Caenorhabditis elegans: one gene and its partner. The protein of the gene in region 1 interacts with the protein of each later gene in a pairwise test. Each region holds a gene or a part of one and is shown on either strand. Other genes may lie near its edges.

Region 1 (7,850 bases):
TATTCACCGCTTCACATCCAATAGAAATTCCTGAATACCGGTGTCAACGAATCCTATCTATTTCTTACATGTTTCGGATTGACGATGAAAAAAAAATGGGGGAAAGATCAGATCAGAAGGCAACGCGTTATTGGGGTCATAGTGACGATGGAAATTTGTAAGGGATTACGAAACTGACGGAGTGGGGGATATGAAGGAAAATGAGAAGTGGGTGAATCGGCGAAAGTAATCGTCTAGGAGTGTTTCCTTTCTAATCCCAACGATCGAAGATAAGGATTGCTTAGAAAGTTTATGAATTAAAATTTTTGTAACAAAAAACAATGAAACTTAAAGACGACGCAAAACATATACACCTCAAAATGTTTTTTTCCAAACTTTCGTTTTTTATTCCAAAACATTATTCAACTTATTTTATAGGGACTATCCTACCTAACAGCCCGATAAGCCTACAAATGAGTCTAAAACGCCTGAAATTGGCCTAGAAAGCTTAAGTGAGCCGAAACATATATACAAAATTGTTTTACAAACATAAACTACAGATATTTTACAAATACCGTTGAAACACATTAATTATTATCACAACTGTTTCTTTTGATAAATTATATTACTTATTCTATGAGTATTGTGAAAAGCTGAGACGTCGAAGCAAATCTGAGAGGACTATGAAAAAGTTATTTGGTTTCAAAATTTCTGTTAGATTTCAAAAAGTAATTGATAGGAAAAGGCTCAAAAAATTCAAACAGGAACAACAAAAACGTATTAACTAATGGTTCCGTTTTTGGAATTAAACCATTTGAACCAAAAATATCATAAACTGTATAGTTCAAACATTTGAAATAAATATGAAAGTTGTATATATCGGAGATACACTTCTCCTTGGAAATGGAGACACAGGCAATCGGTGCGGGTTGAATGTCCGGATCGGTTGTGACATCAACAAGTGTGGAGTGATAACCGAAAGGGAAGGAAGAAAGAATAGGGAGTGTTTTTCGGGAAAGGACCCCCCTCCTCCTCCTTCTTACTAGGAGTCTCTGTCCTACATCCGAATTCCGTCGCGTCGTACACCGCCGAGACTGCTATATTCCTCCACGGACATTTCTGGGTCATTTGACTATCCAATCTTTTCTCCTGTGTTGCGGATTCGCCAAGTGCGCAGCGACCACCCCAGCGGCGTTGTCGATTTCAACAACTAGCGTGATATTGGTTTTCGTGGCATAAAGTACTTGATCAAAAATAGTCGACTTTCTGAACGGGAAGTAAAAAAAAAATACAAACAAAACAGATTTCTTATAAGTTACAAATAAATAATGGTGAATTCAAGTTAATTTAGAAACAATTAACACACAATCACAGTACCGGACGTTTGTGAGACCTTATAGTCCAGATTTGGGAATTACTGACAACCGAATAATACGCAGAACACTGGAAAATGAAAAAGTTTTAGGGATGCCGCGGATTTCCAACTAATCAGATTTTTGCTAGACGTACAATTAATGTTAAGTTAGAATAATGTCAAAACATCTGGTGAAGTTTGTGAATAATTGGGTTTTTAATGTTTAGTTGTTTTAAGTTTTAACATTTGTTAGTTCTATCATATTTTTTTGGATTCAGTTTTAGTTTTTGTGATCCTGTGTGCCCAATTGAGGAAAACTGGTTGCGTTTTAGGTGCCTACAATACAATTTTACCAAGTTTTTTTTGCAGATTTTTCTATCCTGTCGGTCACAATGCAACTAGCAAGTAAAAAAGTAATGACTTTGTTTTAAATACCATGTGCTAGCTGAGTTTCATCATGTCCAGAATCACCTCATCGTTAAAAAGTCATGAGTATCAAAGTGCAGTGTGATCAAACTGTATTACTTGAAACAATTTAGTTATATGTTTAGAACCCCTCATTCAAAATTAATAGACAGGGCTCTCACCGAATGTTGCAATTTGTTTCTGATAAGGGTCACAAAGCGGAGCGAATGCTTGAATGTGTCCATCAATGAGCTTATCAATGCGCTAAAACGCTATAACTTCCATATGAAGTCAATCGAACATATGTCAATCTTTAGCCGTATATAAAGGTGCACTGAAAACAGTCCAATCACGGTTCAGCCATGAGGTCGATCATCATCGCCTCTCTCGTGGCCTTGGCCCTCGCCTCCTCTCCAGCTTTCGAGCGCACCTTCGAGCCAAAAACTGACTATCACTACAAGTTCGATGGCCTCGTCCTTTCCGGACTCCCATCCGCTTCCTCTGAGCTTTCCCAATCCCGTATTTCTGCACGTGCCCGCATTCAAGCCGTCGATGACCGCTACATCCACCTTCAACTTGTCAACATCCGCATGGCCGCTTCCCACCTCCCAGAGTCCGAGCAGATGCCTTCCTTGAACTCCATGGAGCAGCGCGAGCTCTCCGAGGAGTACAAGCAAATGCTCGAACTCCCACTCCGTGCTCAACTCAGAAATGGACTTATCTCCGAGCTCCAATTTGACAAGGAAGACGCTGAATGGTCAAAGAACATGAAGAGAGCTGTTGTCAACATGATCTCTTTCAACCCAATTGCTCCAAGAAACGAGATTGAGAAGATCGAATCTTCTTATGACAAGGAGGAACAATCTGAGGAAAACACTTCTTTCTTCACCAACGAGAAGACCCTTGAAGGAGACTGCCAAGTCGCCTACACTGTCATCCGTGAGCAGAAGAAGACCATCATCACCAAGTCCATCAACTTCGATAAGTGCACCGAACGTTCCGAGATCGCTTACGGACTTCGTTACTCTTCCGAGTGCCCAGAATGCGAGAAGGACACCGAGCTCATCCGCCCACAAACTGTCTACACCTACGTTTTGGAGAACGAAGAGCTTAAGGAATCCGAGGTCCGCTCCCTTTACACTGTCAACGTCAACGGACAAGAAGTAATGAAGACTGAAACCCGCTCAAAGCTCGTTCTTGAGGAGAACCACTCCATCAAGAGCCACATCAAGAAGGTACGATAATCTATAATTTTTACAGTATGTTCTCAGAAAAATATTCTTTCAGGTCAATGGAGAGAAGGAAAGCATCATCTACTCTTCCCGTTGGGAGCAACTCGTTGAGGACTTCTTCAAGAATGGAGACAAGGCTGAGTTCGCCCCATTCGAGAAGTTCCCACTCGACAAGAAGATGCACTTGATCAAGACTATCACTGAGCAAATCCAAGAAGTCGAGAACAACATGCCAGAGACCTCCCACTTCCTTGCTCGTCTTGTCCGCATTTTCCGCACCACCTCCACCTCCCAACTTAAGGAGATCCACGAGACTCTTTACGTCAAGGCTGACAAGAAGGTAAAAAATTTCAGTTTCATTATATCCTATACCTTGCAATATTTAGATCCAATCATTGATGGAGCACGCTCTTGCTATTGCTGGAACCAAGAACACAATTCAACACATCCTTGTTCACATGGAAAACGAGGACATTCTCCCACTCGGTCAAATTCTTAAGACCATCCAAGAGACACCATTCCCATCCCAAAGCATCGCTGAGGCACTCATCAAGTTCGCCGAGTCTCGCGTTGCCAAGAACAACCTGGTTGTCCGTCAAGCTGCTTGGCTCGCCGCTGGATCAGTTGTCCGCGGAATTGTTGACTACAAGAACATCCGTCCACTCGTTCGTGAGGACAAGCGTGAGCTCAAGGAGAAGTTCCTCCGCGTATTCATGCAACAATACAAGGATGCTGAGACCACCTACGAGAAGATTTTGGCCCTCAAGACCATCGGAAACGCTGGACTCGACATCTCCGTCAACCAACTCAACGAGATCATTGTTGATAAGCGCCAACCACTCCCAGTCCGCAAGGAAGCCATTGATGCCCTCAGACTTCTTAAGGACACCATGCCACGCAAGATCCAAAAGGTACTCCTCCCAATCTACAAGAACAGACAATACGAGCCAGAGATCCGCATGCTTGCTTTGTGGAGAATGATGCATACCCGCCCAGAAGAGTCCCTCCTCGTCCAAGTTGTCTCCCAAATGGAGAAGGAGACCAACCAACAAGTTGCTGCTCTTACCCACCAGATGATCCGTCACTTTGCCATGTCCACCAACCCATGTTACCAACGTGTTGCTATCGTTTGCTCAAAGGTTCTTTCCTTCACTCGTTATCAACCACAAGAACAAATGATCGCTTCCTCCTACGCTCAACTTCCACTCTTCCTTCAAAACTCCTTCTCTGGAGCTCAATTTGACTTTGCCGCTATCTTCGAGAAGAACTCTTTCTTGCCAAAGGATCTTCACGCTTCTCTTGATGCCGTCTTCGGAGGAAACTGGAACAAGTACTTTGCCCAAATCGGATTCTCTCAGCAGCACATGGACAAATATGTTCAGATGGCTCTTGAGAAACTCGAAAGCCTCGAGAAGGAGTCGACCACTGTTGTTCGCGGACGCCGTATTCAAACTGGAATCAAGCTTCTTAAGGAACTTGCCCAGAAAATGAACATCCGTGCTCGCCCAGCTACCTACACCGAGAAGGATGCCTTCGCCATGGTCTACCTTCGTTACAAGGACATGGACTACGCCTTCCTTCCAATTGACAGACAACTTGTTGAGAATCTTATCGAGAAGTTCACCAGCAACGGAAAGGTTCAGTTCAGCGAAATCCGCCGTCTTCTCAACCAAGAGCTCGAGTTCGAGACGCACCATGCCGCTTACTTCTACGAAGCTATCCGCAAATTCCCAACAACTCTTGGGCTTCCACTCACCATCTCTGGAAAGATCCCAACCGTCATCTCGGCTGAAGGACAATTCTCTCTTGAACTCGAGGGAACGGAACTTCGTTTGACCGTTGAGGCTCGCCCATCTGTTGCTGCCACCCACGTCTACGAGATGAGAATGTTCACCCCACTCTTCGAGCAAGGAGTCAAGAGCGTTCAATCCGTCCGCGCCTACACCCCAATCAAGATTCAAGCCGTCGCTGGAATGAAGAGAAACTTCGAAATCGTCTACAAGGTTGTCGTTCCAGAGAACCAAAAATCGATCGTCTCCCTCACCACTCGCCCAGTTGTCTTCCTTCGTTTCCCAGGATTCTCGAAGTTCGAATACATTGAGGCTGAAGAGAGAACCGTCGTTGTTCCACAATGGCAACAAAAGACTCAGGAAATTGAGAAAGTCTTCAACTTCCTCGGACTTGAAGTCTCCACCCGCGGAAACATCCTCAACCAACACACTCTTGAAAACTGGCTTCTTGCCGAGCAAGACTTCGAGGTTTCCGTTGAGAACAAGAACCGTCCAGCCGAATTCACTGCCCGTCTCACCGTTGGACAACTCGAGAAGACCGAACTCTCCCAAATCAAGTACAACAAGATCTTCGAAAAGGAGTTCGAGCTCGAACAAGAGAACACCGAGAGCCGCCGTGAGTACTTCAACAAGATGGTCAAGAACATCCAGAAGGAGCAAGGATACAAATCCGTCATCTCCTTGAAACTTGAGGCCCCACGTGACTACACCATGAACACCGAGCTCACCACCGTCTGTGACAAGCAAGTCCGCATGTGCCAATGGGAAGTTGAAATCCGCCGCTCCCCAATCCTTGAGGAAACCAAGGAATGGACTCTCCGCTCCCAACTTCTTGTTGTCCGCCCAGAGATGCCATCATCCCTCCGTCAACTCCGCGATCAACCCCACCGTGAGGTTCAACTCTCTCTTACCTCTACCTGGGGATCCCAGAAGAAGAGCGAAGTCACCGTCAATGCTCAACTCCAACAATCCAAAGAACAGAAGAAATACGAGCGTAACATGGACCGTCAATTCAATGGAATGCCAGAGTACGAGCTTTTGATCAAGGCCGCCCGTCTTAACCAGATCAACGCTGTTGCTGAGTACAAGCTCACCCGTGAAACCGAACAAGTTCTTGCCCGTTATTTCGATCTTGTTAAGACCTACAACTACTGGACTGTCTCGAGCCGCCCAGAGAACAACGAGAATGATCGCGTCGTCGTCCAACTCACAGTTGAGCCAATGTCCCGCCAATACGTCAACATCACCATGCAATCCCCAATGGAGCGCATTGAGCTCAAAAACGTTCAAGTTCCACGTGTCTACCTTCCATCCATTGCTCAACGTTCCGTCAAGCACCAACTTACTGAGGCTTCCGGATCTGTCTGCAAGGTGCAAAAGAACCAAATCCGCACTTTCGATGATGTCCTTTACAACACTCCACTCACCACCTGCTACTCTCTTATCGCCAAGGATTGCTCCGAGGAGCCAACTTTCGCTGTTCTCTCCAAGAAGACTGAAAAGAATTCTGAAGAGATGATCATCAAGGTTATCCGTGGAGAACAAGAAATTGTTGCCCAACTCCAGAACGAGGAGATCCGCGTTAAGGTTGACGGAAAGAAGATCCAATCTGAGGATTATTCTGCTTACCAAATCGAGAGACTCGGAGAGTCCGCTATTGTTATTGAGCTTCCAGAAGGAGAGGTTCGCTTTGACGGATACACCATCAAGACCCAACTTCCATCCTACAGCCGCAAGAATCAACTTTGCGGACTTTGCGGAAACAATGATGATGAGGTGAGTTCAGTGTAGAAATTTATATTGAGTTATAACAAAAATTTTCAGTCCACCAACGAGTTCTACACTTCCGATAACACCGAAACCGAAGACATCGAAGAGTTTCACCGCTCATACCTTCTCAAGAACGAGGAGTGCGAAGCCGAGGAGGAGCGTCTTTCCGAGAAGAAGAACTACAGAAAGTACGAGAGAGACGAGGAGCAATCTGATGAGTATTCATCTGAGGAGACCTACGATTACGAGCAGGAAAACACCAAGAAGAGCCAGAAGAACCAGAGAAGCCAGAAGAAATCCGGTAAGATACAATTTCTTCAAATTTCATATCGATAATTTTTAATTTAAGATCTTGTCGAGAAGACACAAATCAAGGAGTTCTCCCACCGCATCTGCTTCTCCGTTGAGCCAGTAGCCGAGTGCCGCCGCGGATACGAGGTCGAGCAGCAACAACAGAGAAAGATCCGCTTCACCTGCTTGCAACGTCACAACAGAGATGCCAGCCGTCTCTTGAAGGAGTCTCGCCAACAGCCACTCCAACTTGACGACTACCCAGTCTCTTTCGTTGAGTCTGTCAAGGTCCCAACCGCCTGCGTCGCTTATTGATTAAGCTAGACCGGCACTTTTATGTAAATTGATCATTCACATCTGTTTGATTGTAGTCTTTTGACATTTTCTAAATAAAATTTTCACTTTGAACTATTGTTTTATTCTTTTTAAAAAAATTGCATTACTGAAAATTGGAAAAAAAATTGAAATGAAGGAAATATTTATACAAATAGCGTCGCTAGCAGTGCCGTTTGATAGATTTGTCCAATGCCATAGCGTGTTTCAGTTCGTCGTGTACAACGTGAAAGTCCTGAAAAAAGCTAGTCTATGCTTTGAAAGAACCGGAAATTATAACCAACAGTACTAAGAGAACCACCATCAGGATCCTCTTTCTCCGAAGGGTTTTGTTGAACAGGATTAAGAGCTGCAGCGACCAAAGCTCCAACGCCAGGAGATGCTCCCATCAACGCACCAATCGCTGTAGGGGCTGCCGCCAAAACACCAATCGTCGGAGATGAAACCACTGTGACACTACCCGGCGAGGACATCGATGCTCTTTGGACCGTCTGGCTTGTGCCATCTAGTGAGATATTTCCAGTTTCCGCAAAAACAGCCGTTGGGCGGGAAATCGTTAGCTGATCAAGGTCGGTCGTTTCATCAATACTGGTGTCATCGAACGAGTCTCGCCGTAATTGTTCAATTCTTGCTTCCAGCTCCGCTATCTTTGCAGCTTTCCGAGCAAGTAATGTTTTCTTCGCTGCAGCCGCCTCT
Region 2 (5,040 bases), on another chromosome or scaffold:
TTTTTGGGTTACTGTAGCGCCAAAAGTACGCAAACACCGAGTCTCTCACGCGAAAATGCACAGAATCTCAAAATCATCGGAAAAAACAGTCCCAGGGGTGAAATGAGGCGCTGAACTTGAATTTGACAGTTAAAATTATCAAAAAATACCTGAAAACATTGAAAATTCAATTTTTTTAGTTTTTTCTTTCAAAATTTCTTTTTCGGAAGATATATTCGCCTGGAAATAAATTATAGGGCTATATATTAAATTTCTAACATTTTTCTTATGTTTCCTGCTCAAATTTGTCTTTTGGGGGGTACTGTAGCCCCAAAAGTCCGCAAACACCGCACACCTTACGCGAAAATGCACAGAATCTCAAAATCCTCTGAAAAAAGTGTTCTAGGGGTGAAATGAGGTGCTGAGATCGAATTTCAATGTGAAAAATTATGAAAATCGTTGGATTTTGAGAAATTTTTTTGGTTTTTCGAAAAAAACCTGCACCTCCCCACCCCCCCCCCCCCCCCTCTTTCAGGGGGTACCCCTTAATCTATTCCCACTCATTACTACATCTTTTTTTTGCTCTCATTTTCTCTGCGTCTCTCACTTTCACATACTATCTCGTCGGGAGATTAGTGTGAAGAAGACGCTACCCTCAGAGAGCAGGAAATGCGCGGAATTTATTGGAAAATGTGTGTGCTCTCTCGATGAGGGAAATGGAGTGAAGAAAGGGGGGGGAGGAAATTGAGATAACATGTCAAAACTCGTGATATGATATAGCCAATAACATTGGTGAAAATTATAAGCCAGAAAAAAACATCGCAAAAAAAAATTTTTTTTAGCAATTTTTCCCGAAAATCTTTATTTATTCAATTTTCATCAATTTTTCATGCTAAAATTCGAACTCAGCACCTAATTTTACCCCTAATCCATCCTTTTCCGACAACTTTCGGTTTCTGTGCATTCTGTCGTAAGGTCCGGTGTTTGCGTACTTTTGGGGTTACCGTACCCCCGAAAAGTTGAGTTTTTGGCAAAATGTTTTTTTCTCGAAAATCTTTATTTTATCAAGATTTTTCCTGATTTTCATGTTAAAATTCAAACTCAGCACCTTATTTTATCCATACCACACCTGTTTCCGACATTTTTGAGATTCTGTGTTACCGTACCCCGCAAGACTTAAAAATTGAGCTAGAGACTCGGAAACAAGACTTTGGCTGGAAAATTTGACAAAAAATTCGTAGGGAACTTCAATTTTGATTTAAAAAAGTTTTTTTGGAATTTCGGGAAAAAAAAATTTTAGAAAATTTTTTTTCCAAACTTATTTTCTTTATTTTTCATTTTTCACTTTCTCAATTTTTCATCTAAAAATTCAAATTCAGGTCTTGATTTTACCCCTACCACGTCTTTTCCGGCAATTTTGAGTTTCTGTGCATTTTGTCGCAAGGTCCGGTGTTCGCGTACTTTTGAACCTACAGTACCCCCGCAATACTCGAAAATTGATCTAGAAACTCGGTAAAAAAGGCTTCGGCTGTAAAATTTGACGAAAAAATTGTTGAGAAGTTAAATTTTGGAAAAAAAAATTATTTTTGGAATTTCGGTGAAAAAAAATTTTTTTTTGGAATTTTTCAAGAACAAAAGTTTTGAAAATTTTCTGAATATTTTTTCCATGATCCCCTTTTTTGAGTTGTTTTTCAACGCAATTTTCTCTGCACTCTCTTCACTCTCTCATCCACTCCATTCATCATTTTTTCCAGCGCGCATGTCTGGAACAGAGATTCACTTTTATTTTTCCTTTTTTCTTTTTTTTTTTTTGCTCCAAAACTTCTTTTCCACTACTTGAAATTTTAAGTCTTAAAAATTTCAGCACAAAATGAGCGCATTTGAATGTCGAAAATGCGATGATTTTCCGATTGAGGAGAACACGGAGGACGAGGATGATGACGAGTGTCCGACGGTTATTCGGAGGGTAGGTTTTTTCAGGAAAACCGTTGATTTTTAAAGGTTTTAACTATAAAAATCAAATTCAGCAGCGTTTTTTTGCTCCTAAACCGGTTTTTTTGCAAAAAGCAACAAAAAAATTAAAAATTTTTTTTTTTTCAAAACTCGAAATTTTTCTCGAAAACCAGCAACTTTTAAAAATTTTCATATCAAAATTCAAATTCAGCGCCACTTTCTACCCCATTCCCAGCTTTTTCAGCCAATTTTAATTTTCTGTGCATTTTGTCGTAAGGTATGGTGCATCGATTTGTGTTTGCGTACTTTTGAGGCTACAGTAATTCCAAAAAACTTAAAATTGAGCCAGAAGTTTAGAGAAAAACTTATTAAGGGTGAAAAATTACGGAGAATCCGAATTTCTTAATAAAAATTGTGAAAAATTTCAAATTTCTACAAATTTTCCAGTAAAAAATTTTCTCGGCAAAAAAACGCAACTCATTTTTGGAATTTTTCACACCGAATTTCATTTTCAACACAATTTTTTACCCCTCAAACACCATTTTAAGTCAATTTCAAAGCATTCTGCATTTTGTCGTAAGGTGCAGTGTTTGCGTACTTCTGGAGCTACAGTAACCCAAAAAATTTCAAAAATGAGCTAGAAGCTCGAAAAAAAAAAGTTTCCAGGGTAAAAAATGTCGGGAACTCGATTTTCATATCGAAAAACCAAAAAGAAGCCTCTAAAACCTCCAAATTTCCTGAATTTTTTTCCAGTCCTACTCAGCCGACTGGCTGCACAACGACAATTCCTCTGGAGGTGATGACGATTCAGAAGAGGATTCTGACGCCGAATTTCTGGTTCATCCGTGTCTTCGGAGTATTATTAAATCGAAATCCGCTTACGCAGTTCCCCGTAACTCTGATGACGTTGCAGCGGCGGCAGCGATGAAAAATAACAGAATTAAGCCGAGCAAAACAAGCTTTGAGGTGAGCTGGATGAGGAGGTGGTGGTGAAGATGTAGTTTGTAGTCTTTGTAGTTTTTGTAGTTTGTAGTTTATAGTTTGTAGTCCGTCAGACCAATGTTTTTTAGTTTAAAATTGATTGAGTCTGCCATTTGCAGGTTCATAGTTTTGTGTGGTTAGATCTGTTATTTCGAAGTTGGTAATTTATAGTTTGTAGTTTATGGTTTGTAGTTTATAATTCGTAGTTTGTAGTTTGTAGTTTGTAGTCTGTAGTGTATAGTCCATCAGGCCAAAATTTGCAAGTTTAAAATTGATTGAGTCTGTCATATGTAGGTTAATAGTTTTGTTTGGCTAGATCTGCTATTTTGAAGTCAGAGATTTATAGTTGTAGTTTGTAGTTTGTAGTTTGTAGTTTGTAGTTTGTAGTTTCTAGTTTGTAGTTTGTAGTTTATAGTTTGTAGTTTATAACTTGTAGTTTGTAGTTTGTAGTTTGTAGTTTATAGTTTGTAGTCCGTCAGACCAATATTTGCCAGTTTCAAAATGATTTGATCTGCCAAATTTAAATTTTTTGTATATATTTTACAATTTATAGTTTATAGTTTGTAGTTTGTAGTCTAGCAGACCAGAACACCATTTTTCAGATTTCCTTATCAAAAATGATGGAATCAACGAGTAAAAGCATAGCGGAAGAAGCAGAATACTCAGTAGCCGACCTACTTCCGACACTTGATGAAAAATGGCCGGACCCTGAGGAAGAAAATGAAAATTTGAAGTCAAAGCGGCGGAAATCCAATATTATGAGGTGAAAATTCGAATTCTCCATCGTTTTTCACATGTTACCCGTTTTTTCTGGGTCTCTATCGTTAATTTTGAGACTTTTGGGGTACGGTAGCCCCAAAAGTCCGCAAACACCGTGAGCGTGACGCAAAAATGCACAGAAAAACTCCGATTTTGCTGAAAAAGTAGAGATATGGGTAGAAAATCATGCTGATATTGAGTTTTGGCATGAAAATTGTTGAAAAATCATTTTTATATCGCAAAAAAGGAACATTTTCCCTGTTAATCCAAATTTTCCCCCTTTGAAACATAAAAATTCGAATTCCTCACCATTTTTCACTTCTAGAATACTTTTTTTTGGAGTCCTAGCGTAAAATTTGAAAATTTGAGGTTACTGTAGCTTGAAAAGTGCGCAAACACCCAGCATCTTACGACAAATTGCAGAAAATCTTAAAATCGGCTGAAAAGGCGGGTTTAGGGGTAAAAAATGACGCTGAGCGTGAATTTTGATATGAAAAATGTTGAAAATATCTAGATTTTGTGAAAATTTGGAAAATTTGGTTCAGTATTGGTCTGCCAAAGTCCAGCATACTCTAAACTCAAATTTCCAGGTACTCCCCGAGCCTATGTGACTCTGATCTATCACTGAACCTCCATGATAAGGATTCTGAAGATGATGAGGATCGTATTCTAAACCGCCCGTCCGGATGTTGGTCCTCGCCGCCCAACTTCTTCGATGAAACATTTCGCGGTGTTTCTCCAATGAATCGTTAGTTTGTTTACTGTAGTTTGTAGTCTAGGCTTTACTATAAACTACAAAAATTGGTTGTGAAAAAATGTTTTGAAATATCAAAAAAAAAAAAGAAAAAAAATCGAATTTTTTCCCAAAAATTTCAAACGAAATCAAATTTTGACGTTAAAATTCAGATTCCTCGCATTTTTTCACCCTAGACCCATTTTTCCTGGTGTTTCCTGCTAAATTTTGATCATTTTGGGGTACTGTAGCCCCAATAGTACGCAAGTACGCAAACACCGAGCCCCTCACGCGAAAATGCACAGTTTTCTGGAATTGCGTAAAAAAGTTGGGGTAGGGGTGAAAAATGGTGCTGGAAACGAATTTAATAGTGAAAATGTTTTAAAATCGGCAGAAAATATAAAAATTTGAAGAAAATTTTAAAAGTTGTTTTTCAAAAAAAATTTTATCCAATTGTTTTGCACAAAATCAAATTATTAAGTGAAAATTCAGATTCCTCGAATTTTTTCACTCTAGCACCATTTTCCCCCGTGTTCTCTGCTCAATTTTGACCATTTTGGGTTACTGTAGCTCGAAAAGTACGCAAACACCGAGCCCCTCACGAGAAAATGCACAGTTTTCTACAATTGCGTAAA

What was found. The genes of interacting proteins can lie anywhere in the genome.
Region 2: the proteins of vit-2 (region 1) and jip-1 interact in a two-hybrid assay, tested with the Caenorhabditis elegans proteins (one large-scale study listed by BioGRID).

Annotation. Positions count from the first base shown.
Region 1 is NC_003284.9:5,098,943-5,106,792, forward strand, and holds vit-2 (Vitellogenin-2), read left to right. Parts: upstream 1-2,089; 5' UTR 2,090-2,100; coding exon 2,101-2,973; intron 2,974-3,025; coding exon 3,026-3,310; intron 3,311-3,356; coding exon 3,357-6,536; intron 6,537-6,584; coding exon 6,585-6,831; intron 6,832-6,879; coding exon 6,880-7,136; 3' UTR 7,137-7,227; downstream 7,228-7,850. Other genes in the region: C42D8.9 (CUPID domain-containing protein), read right to left, coding at 7,318-7,389, 7,439-7,850. UniProt on the Caenorhabditis elegans protein: Precursor of the egg-yolk proteins that are sources of nutrients during embryonic development. Together with other vitellogenins, may play a role in modulating life-span, acting via induction of autophagy and lysosomal lipolysis.
Region 2 is NC_003280.10:1,325,152-1,330,191, forward strand, and holds the start of jip-1 (PID domain-containing protein), read left to right. Parts: upstream 1-1,843; 5' UTR 1,844-1,849; coding exon 1,850-1,945; intron 1,946-2,685; coding exon 2,686-2,898; intron 2,899-3,515; coding exon 3,516-3,676; intron 3,677-4,262; coding exon 4,263-4,420; intron 4,421-5,040.